Lytechinus pictus: one gene and its partners. The main gene of each other region encodes a partner of the protein of the gene in region 2 in a complex. Links are inferred from orthologs where the notes say so. Each region holds a gene or a part of one and is shown on either strand. Other genes may lie near its edges.

Region 1 (7,750 bases), on a different chromosome or scaffold from region 2:
ATTATAGCCTAGTTATAATATATGGCCGGTGGTTCGAGGCTCCATAGAGCTCTAAAGAAGTATATATGTCAAAATATTAAAAAATATCAGACATGGAGTCCTCAAGGCTAACACCAATCCCCAGCCACGCACAGATGCAGTTATTCTAGATCTAAAAAAAGTAACAATAACATTTCCTTTTTTTTTAGGGTCACCAGCATGTGTCATCAGGAGTTAGCAAGGCATACCAACTCCTCGCCGTAATGAAAAGAACCTTCACTCAACTCACAAGGACAACTCTGCCTCTGCTCTTCAAAACCCTAAGACCCCACCTTGAATATGGGAGTGTCCTCTGGCACAACAGATACAAAGAAGATGCAAGGAGGATTGAAAGGGTCCAAAGAAGGGCAACCAAGCTGGTTAGAGAGCTGAAGAACGTCCCATATAAAGACAGACTTACAAAATTGAACTTGTACTCCCTGCTGTACAGGAGAAGGGGAGACATGATCTTCGTGCACCAGCAGTAGAGGCACACGGCCAATACGGGAGACTGTCTCCCATGAGAGAGATTATCTCCAATATCAGAGACTTTTGTAAAGAATTTGGGTATCCAATTTCAGACAGTCTCCAGTTTGGGAGACCAATTTTCTTTGTTTATATTTGCTGCAAAAGGATTACCTTGGCGGCATATAAAAATGTGATAAGCAGATTCCTCATGAAAAATTACCCCTTTTCACCATCTAGGCCCTACTTTAAAAATTCACTGTCTACTAGTCTATTGTTTTTATGAGGACTTTTGTTGTCATCCACACACAAATGGGCTTCCGACCTCCGAGACAAATTTTGGGTGGAAAAAATGATGCTTTTGTTGGTGTTGTTTCTTTTGTTCTTTGCAAAGCAAGTCTCCAATGTGGGAGATTGTCTCCCTTATTGGAGTCTCCCAATATTGGCCATGCACCTCTACTGACCAGAGCTAGGACCTAGATCTTTTAGAAGTAGAAATCTTGGGGGTGAAAGTTTCAGGTTTTGGCTTCCTTTGTGTGGGTCTATGAGGTAGAAGTCCTGGCTTCGTATGAGAGTAACCTTACGTTAGTATTATGATTTTTACTCTCTGTTAGAAGCCGCCTGGCTAAGCCTAGGCTAAGGCTAAGCCAGACTCTGTGTCAAATGTCATTTCGGTAGACCTTGTCCTTGCCTTGGCTTCATCGAGGTACCGTAATTGCATAATTTATTTTTCCCCTTTTATTTTGAGTGCTATTGCGACCCCATTTTAAGCCATTTTGAAGAGTACCCTTGTACTTGTCTGCCTAGTTACACGGACGACTCCTGGGCTCCAGCCCGGTAAGGAGTAGACCAAAAGCTTCAGTCTCTGTAATTTGGTTGTTCCGCTGAACTACGTTGGCTCCACTCACCATACATAGACTGAAGGGGATGGGGCCCCGTACCTACAGCCAACGTATAGTGAACTAGCGTTTTATAGATCGCGATTTAAAACTGTTTTTTAAGCAAAATTGAAAGTTTCATGGTTTCCATTATCAGGGAAATATAAATAAATTAAGTAATTGCATACCTTGGGCCGGAGTTATTGAAAAAAATCCTCTGGATGATTGAGAAATCTGTCATCTAAGACATTTTCACCTGACCTGACCGTTTTTCTAGCAAGTTGCCATCTTGAATGACGTCATTATCGTTATTAACTTAATGTCTCGAATCGATATATCGCGATTATAACTAGTACTAGTACTAGTATAACTAGTATCGTTTATCTTCGGTTTCGTTTGCATATGGAGCAGATCGTATAATATCGAAAGCAATATCGATATCACATTCGTGATTGTTGACGTTCGTTTGTAAATATTTTATAGTTTGGCTGCCATTTTGACCATTTTTATCGTGTTCAACCCAATTAAACATCGGTAAAGTATATTTTTCATGCCTTTTTCATCTATATCGTTTAAAGTATTTAAATATTCGAATATCAAGGTCTAAAAGTTTGTTGTTTATACATCCTTAGATTGTAAATTCGATGTGTAAAATTACATCAAACTTTGGACTGTGAATTGACAAAAGGGAGGGAATGAGAACACATGCGAGCCCACACGTACACCCTACCGTCGGTAAATGGGGATTACAGTAAAATGTCAGAAATTGTTGAATAAATCCCCAGAAACGACGGTTATTCCTGTCTAGGTAAGGAGTAGACAGCTGGCAGCCGTCTGTTTCGAGGAGTTTTTTAACATTTTATTTTTTTTTAATTTCTCCTCATACACAGACGGCTCGCTAGCGTGCAGCCACCATTAGGGGACTTGCAATGCAAAATCCCCCCGTCGGGGCTCTTCAATTTTTGTCTTTAATGAGTAAAAATTTTGAAAATTCACGCGACCAAAATGCAAATTAATATTCCCTCTTGGCATCAATTGCCAAAAAACTGAGAAAAATCAAGTTAAAAGGAACAAAAACAGTGACTTACCTCGGCTGTCGCGCAAATTCACTTCCCCGTTTTATCCGATCTTAAGTACATAAACATATGGCCATTGAGTCCCCTGTACAGATCGCGCTAGAACTTCGGTCTCTGTATTTGGTGAGTGAAGCCAACGGAGTTCAGCTGAACAACCAACATAACACTTAACAGAGACCGAAGCTTTTGGTCTAGGTAAGGAGCTGCGCTGCGGGCGGGAGCGAGCTCCCTGGCCCTGGGCCGGGTTACCGGCAAGTGCCGCGGAGTGGTACGGTACCGGTACGTTAGGGTTAACTTAAGTTAGGCGTCCTTCACTCAGTTCAGTACAGTTTTGGGGAGTCATATTAAGTTACATGCGAGTGGGGTACGATAGATATAACTGTTACCATATTTGATTTGACTTACCAGCTCGTTTAAAGGGGTTATTTCAGTCTTTTAACGTTAATTATTACCGATTTAATTAGAATTTGGACCAAATCTCCGGATCTGCGTCGGGAGCAAGTATTGTTAACGTTCCAGCTATAGAATTGAATGCTGCCCTCTACCGGTACAACGTTCGCGTTAAAGGGGAATCCAGCCTTGGTCATAAAATGTTGTGTTGGAAAGAAGAAAATGAATAAAAAAGAACGGTGAAAGTTTGAAAGAAATCGGATAAGCAATAAGAAAGTTATGGCTGTTTTAAAATCGAGATCCCTATACTATGTAGATTTCAAATTGGCAAATGAGTAAGAAAATTATGACAAGGGGCAATGACAACTTTCTCATAGGCCATTGTACTTAATTATCAGGGATTTGCGGTTTTCTCCTAAGTACCCTTTCCCTTGGGGCAGTAATCTAAATATGACCCAGGTAGCATATTGTTTTATGTCCTCATGAAAGAAAATTACAATTTGAAGTATGACTTTTGAAAATAATGACATTTTAGCCATTTCGTGTATTTCAGTACATGGAAGAGTAGTCCTTGCCTTAAATCACTATGACATCATATATGCGGCCAATTTGAAGTCTCCATGGTATAGTGAATACCAATATTTACAGCTTTTAAATAATCATAGCTTTTTTATTGTTTGTCCAATATTATTCAAACTTTCACCTATCAGCTTGTCTGAATTTACTTTTTCCTCTAAAAACAAGTTTTCATTTGGGTTGGATTCCCCTTTAATACTTAGGCATCATATCACAGGCCTAATTCATTTCCCATAGACTCGTGTGTTAAAGTGGCACTTTAAAAAGCATTCTTAAAAAAATAAGGAGGAAATTCGAGGGTTAAATGTTTACTATCACTCGATAGGATAAATGTCTGACATTCCATATCTGACCAGAAAAGGGTACCTCGACCGGCTCATTTTAAAAATAAATCAGCATTTATGAAGACTACACCTGACGGGATCTCGACTCCACCGACAGGACCCGTAATTCTGGTACGGGTGTGGGAGGGGGCTCTTCTTCTTTGCCTGTCTCTCTTTCATTCATTTCAAATCAGTTTTTTCTATCTTATCACTTCTTGATCACATAAATCTCTCTCGCTGTTTACGGGTCAATATAACCCCAGAAAATATATCTTAGGCCACTGAGATATTGGAATTGTATAACTAATCTTTACAAAAAAATGCAGATTTTTTTGGTGCTTGGTACACTAGCTGAGAATTCAAAGTACCGAAAAACTTATTAAAACGTTATCCCCTCGTTTGTTAACAATTTTTTTTCGGCATTACTCCTATTTGTTTAAGATCAGTATGCTCGATCTGTAAATGAAAATCATAAGATCAGTATGCTCGATCTGTAATGAAAATCATATGATCATAAGTCAGAAAAAATTGGAACCAGTGGGATTCGAACCTGCCATCTACTGCTTTCCGGGCAGCGACTCAACCACCAGGCTATTCTGGTTCACGGCTAAGCCACGATGAACTGGAATTCAAATACCCTCGATCCTCTTCTTTCTGACTCATTAATATTCAAATACCGTCCGCCGTGGACAATAGATAGTAAATTAAGAGGCTTTTTTATAGGAGGAAATTATAATTTGTTAACAAATTTTCGGCATTACTCCTATTTGTTTAAGATCAGTATGCTCGATCTGTAAATGAAAATCATAAGATCAGTATGAAAATCATATGATCATAAGTCAGAAAAAATTGGAACCAGTGGGATTCGAACCTGCCATCTACTGCTTTCCGGGCAGCGACTCAACCACCAGGCTATTCTGGTTCACGGCTAAGCCACGATGAACTGGAATTCAAATACCCTCGATCCTCTTCTTTCTGACTCATTAATATTCATTAATATTCAAATGCCGAAAATTTGTTAACAAATTATAATTTCCTCCTATAAAAAGCCTCTTAATTTACTAGTTATCCCCTCGTGTTATAATGTTTTTATTTTATATAATATCTCATAGATCGTCGATCAACAAACTTGTCGTTTTCGGGAAGTAATCCCCCTATTGTTTGTTGATATCTTATACCTCAGTTATTTTTTGTTTCACATGTATTTATTTTTTTAATAGAAAAACAAGAATAACTGGATATGAGAAGTCAATTTTCACCAACTTGCCCCACTGCCTCCTTAAACTTATTGAAACTTATTGAAGCATGAAGGAAGCTGACAAAATTAGAAGATAGACCTGGAAGCTCGACTGCTAATTCAGCATTCTTCCAGTATTTGCGGTAAGGTAAGGTAAGGTAAGGTAAGAATGAATATAAAAGAAATTAAAAAATATAAATATAATGATACTAAATAAATTGTCACCCTAATTTTCTTACAGTGGGTGGCATAAATAGTCAATATCATGACGTATTGCCCATAAAAACAAGCAATGGAATGAATGTCATCATAGAGATATACACTAATAACTACTCTATAATCTCTATGGGTCAAATTCATCACTTGAGAGAGTAAAATGGCCCTAATTCTTCCGCCAGCAAAAATAGTTGGTAGTGATATATCTTTCCAATTTGGAAAAAGCAAGTTCAGTAGGTACCCTCCCTAGAATCAGTGTTAGATTGTCAATCATATTCATTCATTTTCGTCAATCAGCAATATCAAATTAAAAAATTTATTGAGAATGGGTTGGGTCGAATGAACATTTTTTGCCTGCCGGTTGTAATTTGATATGAAATTTTGATTTGATTGAAATTTTGCAAGAAAACGACAATTTTGTCGGATATTTCATGTCCCGCAAAACCTCGTCATCTAGGGCACGAGTGACGACATAAAATCACAGTGCTATGATGGTTGCAGGCTGAAGATAAAGAAATAGGCCTAAACCATAATATTTTCCACATCCTACAAGAAAAGCTCTCAATTTTTTTTTGTAACAAACCCAGGTCGTACCTGTATTCAGAGTCATTTCCCAACGTACATGTGTATTTGAAGAGCTCACTTGCAAAAGAAGTTAGGTCAATTTTTCATCAAATTTTATTTTTTGGTCTCAATATATAGATTTTTAGTAGCTATATACATGTAAGATGATACCAAAGAAAATTCCCATCAAAAAGTGAACTAAAATGGCAAAGAAAAATCACTTTTTTTCAAAAGGGGTTAGGTCCATTTCAGTTTGGTTGCAAAAGGGGTTAGGTCGATCCACACAGATTTTTTCATTGGAAAAGAATATTTTAAAAACTATGAAGACAGGTAGATATTTCTTGTTACACCCAATTTTACATTCTCATGGTAGGGTATCATGAAAATTTAGTTTCGCATAAGATAAAAAAAAACGATTTCCTTGGAGTGGACTCCCTTTTGCATGTTTTGCAACCAAATTCTTTTGAAGAGCTCATTTCTCAAAAGGGGTTAGTTCCATTTTTCATAAATCTTATTGTTTTCTGTCTCAAAACCTCTAAATTTTTAGTCGCTATGATGATACCAAAGAAAATTTGAAATTCACATGAAAACGTGAATAAAAGCGGCAAAGAAACATATATTTTGTAATAAAAAAGGTTATGGATTCATTTCAGTTTGCTTGCAAAAGGGGTTAGGTCCGCAATGATATTTAAAAAAAAACATATAGAAAAATTTGAAGACGTGCAGGTATACCCAATTAACGATAGGGTAGTACATCTTTACAATTTTGTTTCTCATAAGAATATTGCGATAAGTGAGAATAAAAACGTGGCTTTTCTCGGAGTCTAACCCCTTTTGCAACCAAACTCTTCATTTGAGTTTTTTCAGACGTGTATATCAGTATCAATCGGATATTAGGCCTATTTACGTCTGGGACCTTTAACGTCGCCATCCGAAAGACGTGACCGGGGCTCGAACCTCTGCATCAATATTTGTAACTTCCCCACATACAGTAAATGATATAGCTTGGATTAAAGGCGCATGCCACAACGCCCAGTTAAAGGTCAAGTCCAGTCCAGAAAAATGATGATTTGAATAAATAGAGACAAATCCAACGAGCAAAACGCTAAAAATTTCATCAAAATCGGATGTTACATGCACATCTCAGTGACATGCAAATGAGACAGTCGATGACGTCCATCACTCACTATTTCTTTTGTTTTTTATTCTTTGAATTATACAATATTTTATTTTTTACAGATTTGACAAAAGAGACCAACTTGACTGAACCATATGGTATTATAAAATGTTAATTCCACATGTTCAGGGAGGAATTAATCTTTGTTTGACAATGAGGAGAAAATTTGAATATTTCATATTTCATATAATAAAATACAAAAAAATAGTGAGTGGATGACATCATCAGTCTCCTCATTTGCATACTGACCAGGATGTACATATAATTGTTTTGTGAAATTAAGCAAAATTTTAAAATGTCATAACTTTCTTATTTTACACCCAATTTAGATGAAATTTTCAGTGTTATGCTTGTTGAAATTTTCTCTTTTTATTCAAATCAACTAATGGTGGGGTGGACTCGTCCTTTAAAGGAGAATGAAACCCTTGAAACCAGCTGAATCCATATCAAAGAGAAAAATCAAAGAAACATATTGTTGAAAGTTTGAGGAAGATTGAATGAATAATAAGAAAGTTATGAGCATTCGAATATTGAGATCACTAGTGCCATGTAGATCCTCCCAACGGCAATGCGACCAAGATCTGTGATATCACACACGTACAACTCCCTCATTACTTTAGTACTTATTTCACTTATATTCTCACTTTTATAGAGTCTCTATCACAAGGTGAGGTGTTCTCTTTATGAGATGACAAGTACAGAGGTTTCACAACATTATATCATTGATGAATCGTTTGTCATATGATTAGAATGAGCAAAAAAAGATGTTTTGGGGTATATTTTCGGTGTCCAAATGGGAGAGTTGTACGTGTGTGACATCACAGATCTTG
Region 2 (7,056 bases):
ATTGATATGGTGGTCCACTTTAAAGGCACCCATTTTCAAGCACGATTCTGTCACCGAAAAATTTTCATCATGAGAGGTCCTATTCCCCTGCCCTTTAATTTGACAAGGGAACCATTCTCTCTCTTCCTCTCCTCGCTCTGGTTTATTATCAAATATGTGCGTTTTGTGTGATAAGCTGTCCTCTTTATTTCCTTTCAGTACGAATTTCTCCCCCGAATTTCAGTTGTGATAATTTCATTCCTCAATCATCCAGCATTAGTCATAAAATGTTGTGTTGGAAAGGAGAAAAATAAAAATAGAATGGTGAATGTTTGAAAGAAATCGGACAAGCAATAAGAAAGTTATGGCTGTTTTAAACTTGGGATCCCTAAGAGTGTAGATTTCAAATTGGTAACTGGGTAAGTAAATTGTGACAAGGTGCAAGGACAATTTCCCAGAGGTAGAGAACTTGGTTATCAGGGATTTGTGCACTCTACAAAATTTTGGGTAAAGTGCTCCATGAGAGGGTAATTATGTGTCCAACCAACATTGGGCATTTTTATTTATCAAGTGTGATGAATATTTTACCCATTCTAAAGTAATTGCTGCTTACTTGTTAACCTTACTGGACAATATGCTTCCCGCATTGGGTAAAATACTGCCCCAAATTGGTTGAACACAATTACCCTCGTAGTGGTAAAAATTTTACCCAATGTTTTTTACAGTGTGGTTTTTGCTTTAGTACCCATTTCCCTGGGGCAGTAATCTAAATATAACACATGAAGTATATTATTTTATGTCATCATGGAACAAAGATAGAATTTGAAGTAAATCTTTTGAAGAAAAAAAACATTTTAGCTATTTTATGTATCGGAGTACATGGAAGAGTAGTCCTTTGACTTACATCACTATGACATCACACATGCGACCAATTTGAAGTCTCCATGGGTATAGTGATTACCAAGTTTTACAACTTCTAAATATTCATAACTTTCTTATTATTTGTCCGAACTTGTCTGATTTTTCTTTTTTCTCTAAAAAAACATGTTTTTATTTGGATTGGATTCCCCCTCAAGGTGAAGTCTACCCCAAACATATAATGAAATATTTATCATAATTGGATGTAAAAATAAGAAATTTGTGTGATTGCTTTGCAAAATAATGAAGTGAAACAGTTTGATACCTCCCTGAACTTGTGATGGATGTGGCATTCATGCTGTATCCTATTGGGATTCAATGGAGAGTTTTCTGTAAAAATATATTCTCTTCCACTGGAATTATATCACTGTGCTGTGCACATACATGTCAGTGAAAATTTGTAATGACGTGATACAATTGTCTTACTTTACATCCGATTTTAAAGAATATGGCTATTATGCTTTTCATATAGTCATTGAAAAGAGGCGGCATAATGATATATTAATAGGAAGCAAGACGACACAAAGTCATATTTTTTCTCTCACTTGTTCTCACTTGAATGATAGCATTACACTATCCATATTTCCTACTCTTTCTCTCCACCCCCACAGGGGCCGGGGGGGGGGGCTGGGGGCCCCACTTTTTTCCAAAACTGTACAAAAAGTAAAAATGACCATAATTATGATTGTGATTTTTAGCATGATCAGCCCCCCACTTTTGGCTCAGCCCCCCCCCCCCCCCCCCACTTTGAAAACTGTTCCGCGGCCTCTGCCCCATGACCTAAACCACTTACGTCACACCTCCCCGCCAAGCTCGCTGAACAGGGGCGGATCGGTGATTTCTAAAAGCTGGTCCTGATTTACCTTAACGTCACTCAACAATAGTGGGGTATAGTTGATTTTTTTTTAATTGATGGTCAAAAGCTTAAAACAGAAGAAAAATAGTATTTCCAAATAAACGATTATTACAAACATTTATCACTTAAAAAAGGGAATTAGGTTCTTCTCTTAAACAGGGAGGGAAGTGCCAATTTCGGACTCAATAGAAGGGATCTCTTTTCCATGTTCCCCTGGAAATCCGCACCTTTCACGGAATCTAAGTGAAGGGGTAAGCAGTAGCGTATACGCAGGATTTTTGAAGAGGGGTTCGAGTAGAATGAAAATTTGACAAGCAAAAAAAAAGAGAGAGAAGGGTTTCCACCCGATGACAATTTTACAAGCAACAAAAGAAAAAAGTTTTCAAAAAATCTGAGTAGGGGTTTGACACCTGTTACCTCCCCCTGCGTACGCGTCTCAAGGGGTAAGAATCATCCTCCAAGAATTCTCTTCCATATCTTTTAGAATTCCATCAACCTAAAGGAATTAGTCGTTTCCTTTTTTCATCGAAAATTTTGGAGGTAGATACAATAAAGATTTTGTACACGAATCCTTTCCTCGCATTCTTTTACAGAATAGAAAAAAAATCATACTGTAAGATAAAAACATACTAGAAGCTTCATGTCTATCAATGTTTGACATTTTTGTGAAAACGTTACATTTTTGTAAATAATCTAGTACTTTGTACCGTGGGCGGGGCAAGAACTTTTAAAGAAGTTTCTAGATCAGGGGCGGATCCAGGATTTTTGAAGGGGTGTGTCACATTATCCCGAGGAAAAATTTGATACATTTCGAAAATTTGACAAGCAAAAAAAAAAAGGTCCTCACTTTCAAAAGGGAAGGAATATATTCCCCCTAAAAAAAAATGTTGAATCTAGAACACTGGCGGATCCACGGGAGGAGGGGGGCCGGGGCACAGCCGGCCCGTGCCTCCCTCATTTTGAGAGGCACAATTTCTATTCTCTCCTCTTCCGATTTTCTCAGTTATTCACCGCAAATAGGGGGCCGCAGTCGTCTTATCATTGTCCTTCATAATCTAGTCATTTTTGTATCGTGGGCGGGGCAAGATTTTCCAAAGGGGGGGGGGGCACATTTTCATGAGGCTGTTCTAATTCAAGGTTTATGTATTGGATGTAGAAAGCACTTACATCAATTCTCATTTTGTCAACCCTTCCTTTTTTTATTCTTTCTTCCTTTATTTTATTTTCCTTTTCCATTTCCATGTTCTTCTCCTTCCCCCTTCGGCCCGTCATTGATTCATCATGCCTCTCTCGGCCTATAGTCAGGTTATATCCTTTTCAAGTGACTGACTCATTTTCAGGAAAATGGCTTTCGTTTTCAGATTTATTAGCTCGATCCGAGTTTCTTTAGCTTATATATTATATCTAAAGCAGAACAATTCAAAATTCACTATTTTCAGAATTCTTTCAGTCTGGAGTACCCATTTAACTTTTAAATGTTCCACGAGCAAAATTTTAGATCACGTTGCACATTTGCAGGAATACTTCTATTTCGTATTAAAAAATACAAAAGGAAAAGGGCCTAGTAAATATTAAGGGGCATATATACAGGCCATGCTGATACGCATAATTCGATTTGATGGAATCATCGGTGATATGCTTCTTGATAGTTCATAAGTTCATGAAATTTATTTCCACATTTAATACAAATATGTCAAAGGCACCATTACAGAGGAAAATGACATAACGTCAGAATACAAAAGAATAAAAAGCAAAGTTAACAATATACCCCCAATACAATACAGAAAAAAAAATATATTATATGTCTAGAATGTCGGGGAGCAACAAAGGTCAAAGATCTATCGAGGTTGCTCCCATGTGGTTAAGAAAGATAGATATTAAAAAAAAATCATACATTTGAATCATTTTTGTTGGGTTTTTATTTGAAATTTCAGGAGATACTGCACTGTACACATCCAGAGCCAAAAAAGGTAAAAATTAAAGAAATTTCCTTTTTGAAGATCGAGGGCCAGGCTGGTATGTACTTTCCGGTCAAATTTAAGCTAAATAAAGGAGGAATTTGGTAGAGTATGGTTCGGGAACGAAGTTCATGATTTTTCTTCCAGTGAACAATATGAATATAAATGACTATGAATACTTGAATACTATTTAGTCAGTTTAGTGTGCAGTCCAATTGATGTCTTTTGTTTACTCTTGTGGATGATTGGTTCACTGAGTATTTGTACCATAGTAGCTACCATGATCTTCTGAAAATCTCAGTAATTGAAGTTTTGATCGGTAACTTCAATCGTGGGAGTGTATAATTGCCGTGATCGAGTTCTTCTTATTTCCAGTGAGTAAATTCATTAATAAATCGCACTTTCTTTTTATTTTCACGTTGTGTGTAGTGAATATAAGCAACCCACATACCTGGTCTATTACAAAAGTCCATACACTAATGTCAATCTCAGCGGTGAACACAGGGAATTTAATGACAAAATATGGAAGTTACTATTTTGCGTCTTTTTTTTATAGTCTGCTCTGTCACCTCTGAGTCTGACTGACTCGACTCTGTCTGACTCAGTTTGAGTCGTTTGCATCGATCCTAATGTCTTAATGACAATGTGAATGTTACACAATGGGTGATTTCAAGTACGGTGTTGAAATCTGGTGTTGGTGTTGTGACAACACCATGCACCAGCCACAACACCGTACTTGAAATCAGGCTGGTGTTGGGTCTGGGATTGACCTCGGAAAATATGACGTATTTCTGGCAGTTCGTGTTGAATGCTGCCTTGGTGTTGAATTAGCCTGGAGGCGTCTGGGGAGTGAAAGTACCGTAAGGATACTAGTATTCAACCCGTTTGGAGAGTTTCTTCAAATAAATAACAGAAATATGGAATTTACCTGAATTTCATACCTTGGCTTTGGCTTTGTTATTTCCATTTCCAGGGTAGGTTGTCGGTATTTTTTTAAAGACCAGGGGAGCGTTTCATGAAAGGACCTGTCAGACGTTTTATCCGACAAGTCCTATTTTATCCGACAGTTACTATAGTAATAGTGCTTCTCAACCAATCAGAATCCAGGAAAGTTGTCAGATCTGACAACTTGTCGGACGAAAATATTGATGAAACGCCCCCCTGGTCCTGGATGGGATGAGGGTTGATTCGTGACCTTGAACTTGGCAACTTTTAGAAAAAATCCAACTTTGAGGGCGCCCTACAAGAAATCGACGCGCATGGTAGGGCCAATTTTTTGTAGGTCTGTTGAGCAAGTCATACTCTTCAAATATGCATAATATTGGGTTCTAAGCTAATTGGATTTGGAAGTTATGAGCCTCCAAACATGCACCCAAAAACATTGACTTGGACACTTAACACCATTTTCGGCGACCTTGTGCGCAATAACGGCTGGTCAGATCCACGTCATATTATATTGTGTGTATTAAGACTATAAAGTTCTTCCAATTTACAGAGAACACTGCGTCATCAAACTTGGCTCCAGCAGTCAATCAAAAATAGCTAATTTTATTTAAACTTTATTGTTTGGCCACGCATTGGTTGCTAAGGGAGGCCATATCTCAGCAACTGTTTGACCTTGGGGCAAAATATTTCAGTTTTTTCCGTCAGACACTTGGGGAACATTTGGTGAGAGTTTAAAGAAAATCGAAGGGGGTCGGGTGACAAATTGTCTAAAAATTTGTTGATTTGACGTGGATTGACCCAAATAACAACACTTTCGAAATAAAAGCAAATAACAATCATCAATTTGCTTTTATTTTATAAGTCACAATTAGCTTAGGCGAGCGAAAAATTGCTCAACCTGAAAGGGATTAAGGTGAATGGTAGCGAGTGATTGCTCTCGCTCCCCTTAAAATTGAGTCCCTGAAGGCACACCTGACTTTTTCTGTTTTTTTAAATAAGGGAAAAGGTGTGTCCTATACACCAGAAATACAGTTGAAATCTGTATCGACCATCTTTGTTGACCACGTTTTCAAAACAACCTTTGTGATTTTGGTTTAATGTGTTTAATTGTATTTTTTTTCCTCTCAATTATTTTTAAAGGAAATGATTCTTCTTCGATTGAAGACATGGAGATGAATTGTCCCTGAACTTGTGAAATTTCTTTTACCATCATGAGTATTGCTGACTACACTCAAACCCCTGAGGACCATCAGGCTTTTCTTGTGACAGTGAAACCAGTGGGAGCAGTCAAAGTCCAGGCATTTTCCAGGATCATCAACCGCATCACCAGTGTTTCGTATGTGCGGGTGCCCGACAACAAACGTGGCATCTGGCTCAGATACAAGCGTCTTGTCCACTTAGAAAACAATGAGTGGGGCGACTTCCAGGTCCATCGACGTGTCGCCGGCCTCATCTGCTTGGGAAAGGCATCGTCGGAGATTGAACTCGCCACCGTGTATGCAAACTTTGACACAATGAAGGAAACTTTTCGGAGCACGCTATTTGACTCTAGGTGTTTTGTTTTTGGGATGTCAGAGGAGACGGTGCAGGAGAGTGCGTCTGGAGTCAGACCTGATGCTGTGTATTACAAGAGTATGGAAGACTGTGATCAATTGGAGGATGATGTCAAAGAATTTGCTTCAGCGCTGTTCTGGGTGTTGGAATCCAAGCGTCTTGATAAAACAAATACCAGCAGAAATGACAAGCTCCCTCTCTTAATGGCACCATTCGAGCGGAAGGATATTGTTGGCATTGATACGGAGACAAGGTAATGATGCTTGTACTTCTACATTTTCTGTATTTTCCTTGTGAACATATTCCGATAGCACATGATGAAAAATTTCCACAGACCAAATCGGACATTATTTGGCCCATGATGGCTCAAGCTCATGCAGCTTGAATGCCTATTTAGCCCTATTGAACGCCCTGTATAATAAATTTTTGGAACCTGGGTCTAGCCATTTCATAACGCTGTTCATATCTTAATAGAGCATTATGGTCCTCCCTTGGCAAATTGACACTGATTTCAATTGGGCTAAAGAAGGTATTCGTGTGGCAACATATCAGGGCCTACATGAACCGCTTTCCACCAAATTTGGACTGTTACTATTTTTCATCATGCTCTAATGAGATATGGTTTCCAAAATGCTGAAGTGCAAGAAATTTATTTTTATGAAATTATTGCTTGTACATGTACTCTAATCTGAGCTATTGAAAAAAATAGACATACATGTAGGCTGTAATCTTGACAACTTCTTCTTAACCACAATTTTTGTCTCACCTGCATAGCAGAGTGAGACTATAGGCGCCGCTTTTCCGACGGCGGCGGCGACGGCGGCGGCGGCGGCGGCGACGGCGACG
Region 3 (7,010 bases), on a different chromosome or scaffold from region 2:
GGCGGATCCAGGGGGGCCGAGGGGCACAGCCCCCCCCCCCCCCTATTGGCGGAGCAAAAAACAGGGAAAAAGGATGAAATAAATAAAAAAAAAGGAGGGAAAAGAGAGGAGAAAAAAGTAGAGGAGGAAGACGAGTGAATAAAATAAGATGAGGGGAAGACATGGAAATAAAAAGAATCTTTCATGTCACTATATAAAATTTTCGCTCGCGCTTCGCGCTCGTATTGCCTGTTCGGGGATTTTCATATCTTGTTCAATACGGAGTTTAAATATCAAGTTTGGAAGTCAATATACAAAACGTATTTCATCTCGAGAATCAAACTTTCATCTTTTTGCGTGATTTACATATTGATTTTTAAAAAGTGCTCTGTAAATATGACAGTTTTATGGTCTGAATATTAATATTTTCTGCTAGCGCTGCGCGCTCGCAAATTTCGATTCATCAGGTACCTATTATTTTCGTGTATTCCATAAAGTTTTCAAAATATCCCTTTTCAGGTCTGATTGTCAAAACGTATCAGCTAGCGCTGCACGCTCGCATTTTGAATGTATGTCTCAATATTGATTATACATGTACATTCCCCTTTTCATGACAATTAAGGCTCGCAATTTGCGCTCGCATTAATGGTTAGAAATATATTGACTGATGCATCCTATTTATAGTTACAAAAGTGCTTCAAATGTCCAGTTTTCAGGCCATAATATCATCAGACTTCGCGCCCTCATTAGGCATTAATGAATAAAATATTAATTTAATAATTGAATTGTCCCTTTTGTTTCATCTCGCGCTTAGCAAGAGTAATAGGAAGACAGTCATCATTTTCATATGATGACATGTCCTACACTGTTAAAAAAAAGCCCTGATTTTACAGAAAAAACAGAAGATTTTGCAAAAGCAATAACAGAATCATTCCGTAAATTCATAAAACAGGATTTTTTCTGCAATTTAATAGAACAGGTCTGTTTAAAAAGGGGAAAAGGCTGTTTTATTTAAGGAAATTTGTAAAGTTCCATACACCAAATACCAATTTCCTGTAAGATTACGCAATCTGGTAAGATTACAGGTGTTCTCGAGACTCTGCTGCAGGAACTTCTTTTATTCAAATTTTCTAGCAGTGTAAGGATGTGCCGGTCCTATGTCAAAACTCAAAGTAATTATAATGAAAAATATCAACTCTTTATTAAGTGCGATCCATATCCTTTTTCCTCAATAATTACTTTCCCTTTTTATCTTGAATATTGTAGTAATTATTGCAAATGTTAAATTATTATTCATATATTGTACGCGCTATGGTACTTTTTGTTTTTAGCGCCTCTAAATATCCATTATTATTATTATTATCCACCTCACAATTTAATTCCGCCCCCCCCCCCCTATTGGCGAAGGCTGGATCAGCCCCTGGAACAAGATATGAAAATCACCTAACAGGCAATGCGAGCGTGAAGCGCAAGCGAAAATTTTATATAGTGGCATGAAAGATTCTTTTTATTTCCACGTCTTCCCCTCATCTTATTTTATTCACTCGTCTTCCTCCTCTTCTTTTTTATCTCCTCTCTTTTCCCTCCTCTTTTTTTAATTCTTTCTTCCCTTTTCCCCTTTTTTTTGCTCCGCCAGTAGGGGGAGGGGCCTGGGCCCCTGGGCCCCCCTGGATCCGCCTATGCATATGGATAGCAGTGGACATCGTTCTGTCGTTTCAATGGTTTATTTTCAATTGATCTAATGCCAACTCGATCGTCTGCTATCATTAGGTCTACCATCAATTCGTCCACTATCCACATAGTCTAACTGCCATTTCGCCTAATAACCAGTTGGACCAATTGCCATTTAGTCCATATGCCATTTGGTCTAATTGGACTAAGAGTTAATTGGGCGAAATTAAGGAAAATAAAATTGATATTAGACCAGCTAGTTATCATGAGACGAAATATGGTTATAGACGAAGTGGTGATTAGACGAAGTGATGACATGGACCAAATGGTTATTGGACCATATGGTTGTTAGGCGAAAAGTTGATGGACAAAATTGCATTAGACTAAATGAAGGTAGACCCTGTTGTGAGTGGAGGAATTAGCAGCAGACGAATTGGTTTCAACCCGCATACCGCCCAGGCAAGCAAAACAAATTCACGACGAAATTGGCGACGTCGTGAGTTTATCATTTTTTCCCGACAGTCTGCATGCAGTCCAGTGTTTGTTTTCCCTTTCTCTGAAACTCTTTCTTCTTTTGCCCCTTCCCCCTTGTTTCTCTCTTTCCTTTTTTCTCTTTTCTTTCCCTTTTTTCGCTTTATTTTTTATTTTTTGCCTGTGACTCGTCAGGGGGGGGGGCAGTTTGCCCCCTGCCCCCCCTTAGGTACGCTAGTAGGCCCTTTTTAACATTTCAAGAGCTTTTTTTGTTTCTCTCTTTTGAATTCGATTTTTGGGGTTATTTCACTCACAAACCCACCTCACCCCCCTCCCTACGCACACACACATATAATTTTCGGTAACCATAATTTTATAATCATGAATGTAATTTTATTTGTAGAATGCATTGGTAAGCACTTTCTGCAATATACCCTGTTATTATCAGTAGCGTATAGCAACATCCCACGTTGGAGGGGACATGGACAATTTACTGCCCCTGAGGGATTTTCATTTAGAATTTTTCAAATTCACCAGTTAAAGGGAAATTAGACTCGGAGAAAATGAAAAGTATGCCTACTCAGGGCAGACTAATGAAAAAGGACTCTGAAAGGGTGAAAGGAAAAAAAGTAGGGCTAATAAAAGAGAGGGAGAGAGAGAGGGAGAGAGCCGCGGGGGGGGGGGGGGGGTAGGAGGAAAAAAGAGGGGGGAGGCGGCAGGAAACCGGAAGAATGGGGGAATGAAGGAAAGTGAAGGAACATTGGAAAGAAAAGGTACTGAAAGAAAATGAGAAAATAGGCCCTTAAAACATGATATGCTATAGGCGGGATCGAGAGCGGGAGAGAGAGGGGAACACGTGAAATGATAAAAAAAATGAATGGCAATTAAAGGATGAATAAAGCCCACTATGCGATTCGTTGCGATCCGAATTTCAAAGAAATTGCAATAACAGTCTTGATATGAACATTCCAACCAATATAATCTTAACAATCAGAATTCAGAATTGTGATAGGAAATCGGAATTCAGTCAAGTTCGATCGAGCCTCCCCGTAGGTATAAAGCAAAATCAATTTCAAATCGCAATGACGTCATCATCGCCTCCGACTTGGAGCCGAAGTTGGACAAAACTCCGAACACAGGGCTTGCCGCATAGCAAAATTATGATTTTATAATTCCTAACATTATGACGAATTTCAAGTAAAATAATTTTGCTTCTTGGAAATGTCACATTTAATGCAAAATTCAATTTATTGAAAAAAAATCGCGTCGCATCGGATCGCATAGTGGTTCCATAATTCTATATGACATTTGCCCCGGCTCCGCTGTAAATTTCAAACACTATGGATGACAAACTTCAACCCTATATAGCTGGAATATTGCAACCCTAGCCTTATCACCGCAATGGACAGGGGATGAGGGGCAAAAAACAAAAAAAAACTAACATAAAATTAAGGGAGGATGAAATAGAGAAAACGTTATCATCATGTTCAAGTCTTTAGGACTTCGAAATACCCCAACCAAGATCTTGAGCAGCCGAAAACAGTGGACTAATCTGCCCCGCCCCCCTTAATTGGAGCGATGATATCTGCTAATTGGTTCCCATTGGTCCATGTTTTCTTCAAAATTTGACCCCAGACCTCGTCATAAACATAAACATACATGTATTTAGTGTATCAACATCTCATCAATAATATACGAATGAATATCTGTCTAATTTTAATTAGGCAATGGGCAATCAGTGGCATTAGAATCTCAGTGACTGTAACGGAACTTGAAACAAAACTCAAAAGCGCCATCTCGTTCGTTTCTAACTTTTTTTTCGCTGGTTCCCTATTTTACATTCTTTTATGTGGTGTTTCCTATCCTCACCCGTTGGCGTAGCGAAGTGTGGCGTATGCTAGTGCAAAATAATGGCGACTGCCTGTTTCATCGGATGATCATAGGCATAGCTGAGCCTGAACTTGTGCAAAAAAAGGGAAAGGGGAAAATACTGGCTCTGGGAGAGCTGAGATTGCTAGGCTTGATGATATCAGACGGATATGTGATAACATGTGGTGATTATCATAATTTATATGTTGACTTTCAAAGCAAGGAGGACAAGAAGAAGCTGTGCAGTGTAGTTTGAGTTTTGTGTTTGTCTCGGGATCAGACGCCGGATTCAATGAGAATGGCGCAGTGCTCGCAAAGTGCCAGGGAGTTTATTCAGAACACTTTTGGACCAACTGTGGCAGTTGCATGCAGTCATGATGCAGAAGTTCTTGCACAAAAGAACAATTTATCTTTTGTGGAAATGGTCAGGCCATTTTGCAGACTAACTTCAGAAGGTATTCCTCCTGTTCATGATGAATTAGATCTAGGCCTAAATTGAAAAAAACAAAAAAGTGAAATGAATTATGAATATGATTAACATTGTGAAAATCACCCTGTCCCTGACAAAAATTTGTATAAATGAAATATCGGTGAAGGTTTTAGGAAAATCCAAAGTTAGAATTATGATAATCAGTAGAGGCGCACGGCCAATATGGGAGACTCTCTCTCCAATAGGGGAGACAATCTCCCACATTCACATTGGAGACTTGCTTTGCAAAAGGACAAAAGAAACAACACCAACAAAAGCATGATTTTTTCCACCCAAAATTTTGTTTCACTGAGGTCAGAAGCCCATTTGTTTTGTGTGTGATTGACAACAAAAATCCTTATCAAAACAAAAGTAGACGGTGAATTTTTAAAGTAGACGGTGAAAAGGGGTAATTTTCACGAGGAATCTGCTTATCACATTTTTATTTGCCGCCAAGGTAATCCTTTTGCAGCAAATGCAAACAAAGAAATAGGTCTCCAAAACTGGAGACTGTCTCTGAAATTGGATACCCAAATTCTTTACAAAAGTCTCTGATATTGGAGATAATCTCCCACATTGGAGACAGTCTCCAATATTGGCCGTGCGCCTCTACTGATAATTGATATTTTGATTTGTCATTTTGTGACATCATGACAGAGTCCAACTGCTTAAGTTCTGTTCAGTAGAGGCGCTGGTCAGAAAATTGGGATCGTCCCAGTTTTCAGGGACTGTCTCACTCTTCTCTTGTCTTAGTTTTCAGAGATTTCTCCACACAAGAAATCTAGGAAAATTTCATTCACCTGTCAAGTGCTGACATCAATTGAGTGCGCTAGTCAATGTAAACTCATTAGGTTTCATAACAAGATTATTGGAACTTGGAAGATGGCAAGTCGTGAAAAATAGACAGTGATCTAGGGGTTATTGAGGTCACTGAATCTATTTTTAGCACTCTCAATCCCCGTAATTGCCATCTGTGTCCCACAGGGGTAAGTGAAAAAAAAAACTGTCCCCATAATAAACAAGGACAATCTCAATTTATCAAGACATGATTTGTCTTGGTTTTTGAGGATATCCTTTTTTTTTTCCGGGACAATCTCTTGTTTCCTTCCTCCGTTAATGTCGGAGATCGCTGATAACAGTAAAAAAAAATGACTGAAGACGCTTCCTATGGGTTGCTAGAGTTAGGTTGCTGAGAAGGTTTTGGTGAGTTGTGTGAAGATTGCGAATGAAGTATAAAATAAGAGTGTGGAGCTAGGTTTTACTGGCACTGCTGATGCGTACAGGGGGAAGAAAGAGGATGATACATTCTAGAAAGGACTGGGGGTCTGCCTCAAATAAACCTGCAAATTGTGCGGTATTGTCGTTGTCCTTAATGCGATTGATGAGGTCACGGGGCACAGGTGCAGTGGCCGGACAGGATGAGACAGTGTTCAACATCTTCTCTATTTAGGAACATGGTTGACAGATGTCATCAGAACCCTTTCTAATTCTGACAAGTCTGGCCTAAACTTTGCATGAGATCTAGGCTCTGATGGTGATAGCTGGTCTCAGGGTGGGATTAGCTATATGTCCAGGATACAAGTCAGTAGCCTTAGGCTTTGGTCTTCTGGTTCATAATGAGAGTGAACTTTTCTTACAGAGAGAGCCTCACTTTGCCTGGACTCTGATGTTCTAGTCACTGCTAACACCACCATGTGTTACCAAAGGCTTTAGGTTGGAGGTTTTTACCAAAAGCTCATCTAACGGAGGAAGATTAAGCATCCTGAGAACAAGGCACCATTGTTGAACTGAAGGGGTGTTTGGCACAGATGCTATGAAGAAATAGCCTTCATTCTGTTCTATCAGGGGCAACGTTCAGGATCTGTCCTAAAAGCAAGAGCTTCTTTTTCATAACCAGAAGACTTAACTTCACTTAAGGCATTATGTCTGTCAGGATGTACACAGATTCATCAGCTGCAGATACTGGAAACCCCAGTCCCAATTTTTGGACCAGCGCCTCTACTGAAGTTAGGCCTAAAAAGGTTGGACCTAAGTGAGTCTATGCAAACAGCCATAGAAAAAAGTTGTTCCAAACAGTGCGCTATTCTCAACAAGTTGGTGTCGATGTGTTCGTCAAAGACATTTTACTGACCCAACCATTCAGATTCAGACCCTAGATCTAAATTATGATCATGATATAGATATAGTCTAGTAGAGGTCTAGATCTAGATCTAAAAAATTGGTAAAACTAAAACTGAAAATCAATGAAATTTCATTTTCTAAAAAAGATTAAAAATTGTTTTTATTATTCCTTAAATCTATATCAATAGGGAAATTATTTCACACCTGCTGCTGAAAGAAAAAGAAGTCACAAAACATTAAAAACTTAAGAAAATTGACAATTTAGTGTAGATCTAGATATAAGAACTAAGATGCATATTTATATTATAACATTGGGGCAGTTGCTCGCTTATGACATCACATATCAAAAACTCAAAATTCTAATATTACTTTTCTTGATCTTTGATGGATTTTCCTCGAACCTTCACTGATATTTTTTTTCAGGGTGAAC
Region 4 (7,374 bases), on a different chromosome or scaffold from region 2:
CGTTACGTACGTAACGTAATAAGGGTATCAAAAACACTAAAATAATGAAAAAAGGTTATCTATTTTAAAGGGAAAGCTACGTGTTTAGGGTCAAATTTGCGAGGGTATAAAAAATTAAGAATTAAATGTTTTATAAAAGATGTACTTTTTGCCCCAAGCGTCAACACTACCTGTTTAGAGTACGATTTATGCGAGGTGTGGGAGGTGGGGCTGTACTACATGTACTAAACCCAATGATGTATAGGTAAAGGTAAAACCGACGACAGACGTCCGCGACATACAATTGAAATAAACTGTACTTGTTTAGGGGTTCAATTCACGGAATACTTGCCAATAGTATCGTTTTGTTTCCAATACTTATTAAGGGTAGGATTTCACACGCCAATACTTGTTAGTGGGTGCATTTTCAGAATATGGAAAATACGTGTTTAGGGTGCTTTTCGAGACCCCATGGTCGCGCATGGTATCCACTTGTCAATGGAAGTGCCCCCCCCCCCCCCCCGGAGTAGTTCCTGTTTAAGGAATACTAAGTTCACAGCATTTTTTTCATACATGTGTTAGATTAACCCAGCGAGCTCCGGCCCGCGAAGCCAGCCTGAGCTCCCTGGGTTAGTGTTAGATGTGTAGAACATAAATACTGACCTGAGACAAATGATAAAATGATAGTTTCAAAGAATATACTGTATAATAGGAAATTAGGAATACAGAAAAATTATACGTTGGTTATACTTTCAGTATTAAAATTTGAAATTTAAAAAGCAGGTGAGCAAACTATTTACTAAGCAATAAAGAAATTCAATTTTAAAGTTGGATCAATTCAACATCAACACCTCTTCCATGACAATCATACAGTTTACACCAAGAATTTAAAAGAACTCATCAGACAGATCTTTCCAAAAGAGATTTTAATAAAGTATAAACAACAACTTTCTCTCTCTTTAGTACTCAGTTCTACTATACTCTGCTGAAATTTGTATGCTAATAGAATCCTTTTAATAGCTTTTAAAGACATTACTTTCTGTAGAGTAGTCTAAATCATCACTATCACTAAGGTAAAAAAGAAAAAGAGTTACTTAATATTGAAGATGAAAATTAGAACACTATGATACAATGTTGATTCGTAAAGAGTACATCATCCTTCTATTCTTTTTTTTTTTTCAACTGCTCTAAAATGCATGTAGCTATTTGATTATTGTCATTGTGAAACACGCCATCATTTTTAGTATTATTGAATGATTTGCCAAATAATCTGAAAAGTACAATCACAATATCATGCCTTACACATATTCCTGATAGAGATATATATCAGTTAATCAATTTACAAATGATACAAAGTGTACAATTTTAAGTAATTAAAGGCCTATACAATTATTGATGTGATTGAAGTATATTAATCTCAGGCAGTTGGCAATGTTCAATTCATTTATTAAGATCTATTTTCGTACTCATATGCATGGCATTGAGACAAGTGAATTTCCTGCTTTTGAGCTCTGCATAAAGGAAACACATACCTGTATGATGGGGTGTCCAAACTTCGCGCACTTTTCAAAAATATTTATCAGGCTTAAATTTGTTCACAAAATATTCATAATTTATACAAAACCAATTCAAGAAATAGTTACCACATTTACGGCAAGATCGTAAACTGTAAAATCATGGACGAAAATGTAAAGTAGGTCAAGGGGATTCGCCAGTATCGCGATCTCAAAATTCTATTCCGATCGGCGAATGAGCGCTGTGCTGGAAAACCGTTCAGAAAAAGTGTGACCTAACTTCGCGGACCAAAGTTTTTGTGGACATTTAAACAAAAACTCAAGCTCAAAAAATGAAATATTTATATCAGATTGACGGCAAATTGCTATAGAATCGGTTAGTACCACATTTAACTCACATTTTTGATAATTTCTGCTTGCAAAATGGTGATATCGTGATGCTTGTTGAAAATATCAGATTTCTTCAAAACGGGCGCCAACAGTGACAAATTTGCCGATCTTTTGCCAATATTTTCATGAATACTGAACTCATCCTAAAGAAACTTACACCAAAGGGTAATTTTAGGTCGCTTTTCACGTTGATGATGTCAGATTTTAAGAATATTGGCTAGTTTTTTAGATAATGACCGTCCGCGAAGTATGGACACGCGCGAAGTTTGGACTCACTGTCATACTACAAGCAAAGACAATTCCTGTGCATGCGAATCCATACATGTTTTGTCATTTTTCATGTACTTTTGTACAGATTTCTTTCTCACTTTATTCAGGGAAAAAAAAAATTTGGATCACGATTTGAGGGGAGCGAACAGAAAAACGAAGATCCATCGAATTGAGGTAGTTGCTTACTTTCCTCTTTCATTTTTTTGGGGGGGATCCGGGACATATCGATTGATGATGTTCGGCCTAGGGCCATGATTTGTGGTTGCATTTGCCTCTGTTTAACTTTGACTCCGAGTTTGAGTTTAACTTGTTTGAGTGGTCGGATTCAGGTCGGATTCTGGGACTGGGTTACCAAAAAGCGAGTGGGCCTACCTTTGACCGACACTTTGGATATTCATGGTCAGCTGGTAGTGATTTGAAATTCAGTGGTACTCTATCTGGTCTACGGTTGGCGCTAAACGAATCCCAAATTGCTCTGTGAATGGCGTTATACGTCACGTCCAATCCAGTCAGCACAACAAGCCCCAACGGCCTGGAGGTGATCTCCGCCGACAGATTCCCGGGACCGGGAGATGGTCGTCCGATGGGCGACGTAGAACTTGAAGTGGGCTGCACATCTGCAGCGACAGCTGCGGCATCGGGTTCGGTCATTTCTACAAGCCAGTCTAAGGAAACTAAAGTGGAAAAGGGATAAAATCATATGCAAAATTGTGATAAAATATAAACAATTCATCATGAACTTTATACAAATTGAAATAAAGAACAAAAACGAAAAGGTACACACCTACTTTCCTTGATCAGCAAAACAGTCGTCAGTTGACGTCGTAGATGGCGTGTGTGCGTTGTTTATTTACTACTCTGGTTGGATATTATTTTTTGTCATATATTTTGGGGTGGGGCGGGGGTAGGCAACCTCGCCCCTGCTCATTTAATTATCATTTTATAGGCAGAGGTATTGATTCCTTTTGATCATACAGATTGCTTCGTTGCAAATGAATGTTGTGTATTAATTTCCCCAAATAATACGTTTTTTGTTCATGATTTTTATATCCCAGTTTTTAAACTGTCACTTCTACTCTTAAGGGTATCAAAATTAAAATGCTACAAGGTCTGATAATTAAAAAAAAATGATTATTTAAGCAAGTCCAGACCTTATCTGATTAATAAATAGGTCCCAGATATCCTCCACATCAACATGTCATTATAGTCTCCACCCACTTCGTCCAATTGATCATCCCTTGTCTAATCCTACTTCATTCCAAACCAGTTTGGTCTCATCCCACATATCATATTCGCTCAAAAGTTTGTCTACTCTACGCATTTAGTCCAAATGCCATATAGCCTATCACGATTTTAAATTTTGTCTATTTCCAGTAAGGCTAAGCCCATTCCATCCACTTGATATATTCACGTATTATAATGTGCCAATTAATCATTTAATTTCTTGGATTTAATTACTTTTAAAAACTTTCAGAAAAAATCATCTACCTAAAGGACCAATTCCCAAATAGTGGCATTTTCAACAATTATCAAGACATCACTTTTTATCATTGTCTCCATCTTTGCTTTCTCCTTTAATTTTTATTCATTTCACCAAACCTAAATTACTGCAGGATATTTGCTTATCATATGCAAAAGTATTATGAAATATGATATCACTTCACATTGGTGGCAGCGGTGGGATCAATACACAGCAAAACTGTACATGTGGTGCTTACCAGTGTATAATGAGAACCATACAAGTAATATTACTCCAGTCTGAGGGCAATGTTCAAACAATCAGGGTCCCGTCTTACAAAGACTTGCGATTGATCCGATCAATCACAACTATGGAAAGCCAGCAACGTCAACATGTAAAATACATTTTTGTTCAAAATATTTTCTAGAAATGACTTATATTCATACACTGTTTTCTTGACAATTCAGTGTGCTTCTTTTAGTTTTCAAAGGACATTGATGAAATTTCCCAAAGAAAAAAATTATGACATTGATGGATTTCCATATACTTGAGATTGATTGGATCAATCATAACTCTTTGTAAGACGGGGCCCTGGTGTAGGACTTTAATACCTCAGGGTATGGTCCTCTGGGGACAAGAACAAGTGTCTGTTGTTTCAATCCCACTTTTTTTACAGTGTATACAATAATGATAAGCCCATTAAACTCATGGGGATGTTTAAATGATATGCTGCTAAAGAAATAAGGATAAACAAAAATTTTTAAATATTTTTTTTCAGAAATAAATGGGAAATGGGCAATAGCATTTAACTCAAAGCACAATTTGATGTATACTACAGAGCAAAAAAACCCTGTTCAGATACCATGTCTTATACTTCCATTCAGCATCACCAATCAAACACAATTACTCTTATACGCCATTCATCTCCAAGTTAATATAAACAATCTTTTCCAATGCAACAACACCAAACATTCCCTCAATTTCCTTTTTTTCCTACAGTTAATTTTTTTTTATAGAAAAGTCAAAGGGGAGACGTCACTCAAAACAAAATTAGGTTTCCATAAATGTCTTTATAAAGCAATACATGCTAATTTCCACAAACCATTATTCTCTATTTCTTAGACAAGAATATAAGTAAATAACATTTGCCAAGTAATGACATCATGAAGGCAGCAACTCTAAAAGAAAGAAAAAAACATTACACAATTGCAATAAAATGTAAATTCATGTAGTCATTTCTACATAATATAAAATTTTGAAAAATATCATTTGACCTGTCAAATATTAAAAGACCATAATGGTATACACAAACCATACTCTTGATTGGGTTTTCAAATAATCAAAGATGGCAAAAAAAATGATTTCTTAAAATATATAGGAAATGGAACCAAAATTACTTCATGAAATATTTCTCTAAAAAGTTTTCTAAAACATTTCACAATTAATTCATAAAAACGTGTGATTAACATGAAATTAAAATTACTAAGCCGCATTTGGAGGAGTCATAGATAAAAAGTATCGAAGCTTGAAAACACAGGATTTCCTTATATTCTTTTCAAATTCTGGTTTGTATACTATAAATAATATGAATTTACAAGGAAATATTCATACAGAAATACATAGGTTTCAGATCAACTGAACTCCAAGTATGGGTGAAAATACATTTCCATACTAAATTAATACAAATAATACTTTTAGTTTTTGTACACTTACATCTCTAATGAGAAATACAAAATGAGATAAACCATATAAAACCATATAAACTCAAATTTTATAAATGTTATTGAATTAATCACTAATAATATAAAATATATCAGGATAGTTGAACCTCTATTGCAAAGATAATTCAGCAAATCAACCATAAACTAAACTAAAATTCTGCAGTATGTAGTACACTATTCAGAAAATATTTGTTGCACATAAAGTACTAATTTGTCACCTGAATTTATATTGCATGGATAACAAATGATAGATTAAGATGAACAAAACACATTGTATTATTGTTCAATCACAAAACATATTCTTGCAGAATTAGTCTGAGGTCTGTTTTATGAAATCACAAACAAGACTGCCATAATAAACTATTATTGATAATTAGAACCAATGATTTTGGTGGACTGATCGGGCCATAAAAAAAAGTTAGGGTGGAGCCTTGCGCAAAGTCTTGGAAAAAAGAAAAAGAAGGGTCAACTTTTGGGGGTAATTACAGCTTATTTTTAAAAAGTCAACAAGGCCTATAAAAAATTAACTTATTTTGGCAGTGAAATTGAAATTGTGTAACAAACAAGAAGTACTATGTTGCAATAATCTTTTAATCACACACATCCAACATTGAGAGTTGTTTATATTGTTACTATTATTATCATTATTGATCATTTGAAAAGATAATTTCTCATGAAGACATACCGGTACATATCAAACTTGGCCAAATAAGTAGAAACCTAAATCACACAATTGTTTGAGTAGTTTGAGGTAATTCTGTCTACATTTTTGTAATATTTACATAATATCGATCTAGTCTTCACATATTTCTTCAGTACAATGCAATCCGATACCACTCATTGCGTTTTTCAACCTTAATAAATTTTATCCTTGGAAGCTCAATCTAAATTCTAAAAATCAAATATTGCATGCTCTTGTAACAAAAAAAAGTCAGGCACATCTAATACAATTATTTTCACAGCTACAAACATACATACACATACTGTATAAAAATAAATGCTGGAATATTTTTAAACACTGGAAATAACTTATCAATTCACTTTTAACATACCATTCTAAATGAACAGGCTAAATAAGAACAACAACCTTAGGCTTAGCTTGAATGTGCATCCACTCAAAGAAAAATTATACGATTGACTTTTTTCTTTCAATAAAGTGTGTATGAATTAAAAGGGAATCCAACTACAATTGAAAGCCGTATAAAAAACGAAAATCAAAGGTGTAATTAGAACCCCACCCCCTCCAAACAAAATCTGGCCAAAGATGTAATGAATTTCTAAAAGAATACAAGAAGTGGTAAAATCTATGGCCACACAGGTAATGTAATATGATGGGTAAACTGCCAATTGGTGAACAACCATTTTGTTTATTGCCCATGTGATCTTATCTCAGATGGTCTTACTCTCATCCTCCTTCATCTACAACAAATTCACCAAATAACCTTTCAGTATATTTGCCACTCTATATTCTGTTTACCATTTTGTCTTATCCCAAGTGGGTGTTTCATAAAGCTGTTCGTAAGTTAAGAACGACTTTAAGAATGACTGGTGATCCTTTCTTGTGGTAAATGGTATATTCATTGGCGATGGTTAAGTGCATAAGAAAGGATCACTGGTCGTTCTTAAAGTTGCTCTTAACTTACAAACAGCTTTATGAAACGCCCCCCCCCCCCCACCCCCCGTTTTAGCTTTACCCATATATCACTTGGTTAGTCTATATGGTTAGACAAACTGCTCATTTACCAAATTTTCATTTGAGAAAGTATAAAATAATAAGAAACAAAGTGGAAATTCAACCAACTGGGCATGTGCAAATTAGACTAGTGGGTATTGGACCAAGCGAAATGCAGACTAAATGGCAATAAGCCCAAATTGATGGTAGATCAAATGAAATGAATTAATGACCAAAATATGAAAAAAAAACAAGATCAAGTCTTCACAAAAATCTGGGCCCCATTTCATAAAGAGTTACAACTGTTGAAACTTTGCCATTATGGCAACTACCATGGCAACCTTGATTCTGATTGACGCTGAGCCCCGT

The links.
Region 1: trafficking protein particle complex subunit 9-like (region 2) and trafficking protein particle complex subunit 12-like share a complex: the UniProt entries of both Homo sapiens proteins name them as parts of the multisubunit TRAPP (transport protein particle) complex. The link is inferred for Lytechinus pictus from reciprocal best matches to the Homo sapiens genes TRAPPC9 and TRAPPC12.
Region 3: trafficking protein particle complex subunit 9-like (region 2) and trafficking protein particle complex subunit 8-like share a complex: the UniProt entries of both Homo sapiens proteins name them as parts of the multisubunit TRAPP (transport protein particle) complex. The link is inferred for Lytechinus pictus from reciprocal best matches to the Homo sapiens genes TRAPPC9 and TRAPPC8.
Region 4: trafficking protein particle complex subunit 9-like (region 2) and trafficking protein particle complex subunit 11-like share a complex: the UniProt entries of both Homo sapiens proteins name them as parts of the multisubunit TRAPP (transport protein particle) complex. The link is inferred for Lytechinus pictus from reciprocal best matches to the Homo sapiens genes TRAPPC9 and TRAPPC11.

What each region holds. Positions count from the first base shown.
Region 1 is NC_087261.1:4,625,833-4,633,582, forward strand, and holds the start of trafficking protein particle complex subunit 12-like, read right to left. Parts: upstream 3,001-7,750; 5' UTR 2,843-3,000; intron 1-2,842. UniProt on the Homo sapiens protein: Component of the TRAPP complex, which is involved in endoplasmic reticulum to Golgi apparatus trafficking at a very early stage.
Region 2 is NC_087245.1:18,182,103-18,189,158, forward strand, and holds the start of trafficking protein particle complex subunit 9-like, read left to right. Parts: upstream 1-4,032; 5' UTR 4,033-4,085; intron 4,086-5,796; 5' UTR 5,797-5,867; coding exon 5,868-6,463; intron 6,464-7,056. UniProt on the Homo sapiens protein: Functions as an activator of NF-kappa-B through increased phosphorylation of the IKK complex. May function in neuronal cells differentiation. May play a role in vesicular transport from endoplasmic reticulum to Golgi.
Region 3 is NC_087246.1:37,676,260-37,683,269, reverse strand, and holds the start of trafficking protein particle complex subunit 8-like, read left to right. Parts: upstream 1-3,995; 5' UTR 3,996-4,282; coding exon 4,283-4,445; intron 4,446-7,010. UniProt on the Homo sapiens protein: Plays a role in endoplasmic reticulum to Golgi apparatus trafficking at a very early stage. Maintains together with TBC1D14 the cycling pool of ATG9 required for initiation of autophagy. Involved in collagen secretion.
Region 4 is NC_087246.1:18,601,251-18,608,624, forward strand, and holds the start of trafficking protein particle complex subunit 11-like, read right to left. Parts: upstream 3,014-7,374; 5' UTR 2,938-3,013; intron 2,828-2,937; 5' UTR 2,805-2,827; coding exon 2,526-2,804; intron 1-2,525. UniProt on the Homo sapiens protein: Involved in endoplasmic reticulum to Golgi apparatus trafficking at a very early stage.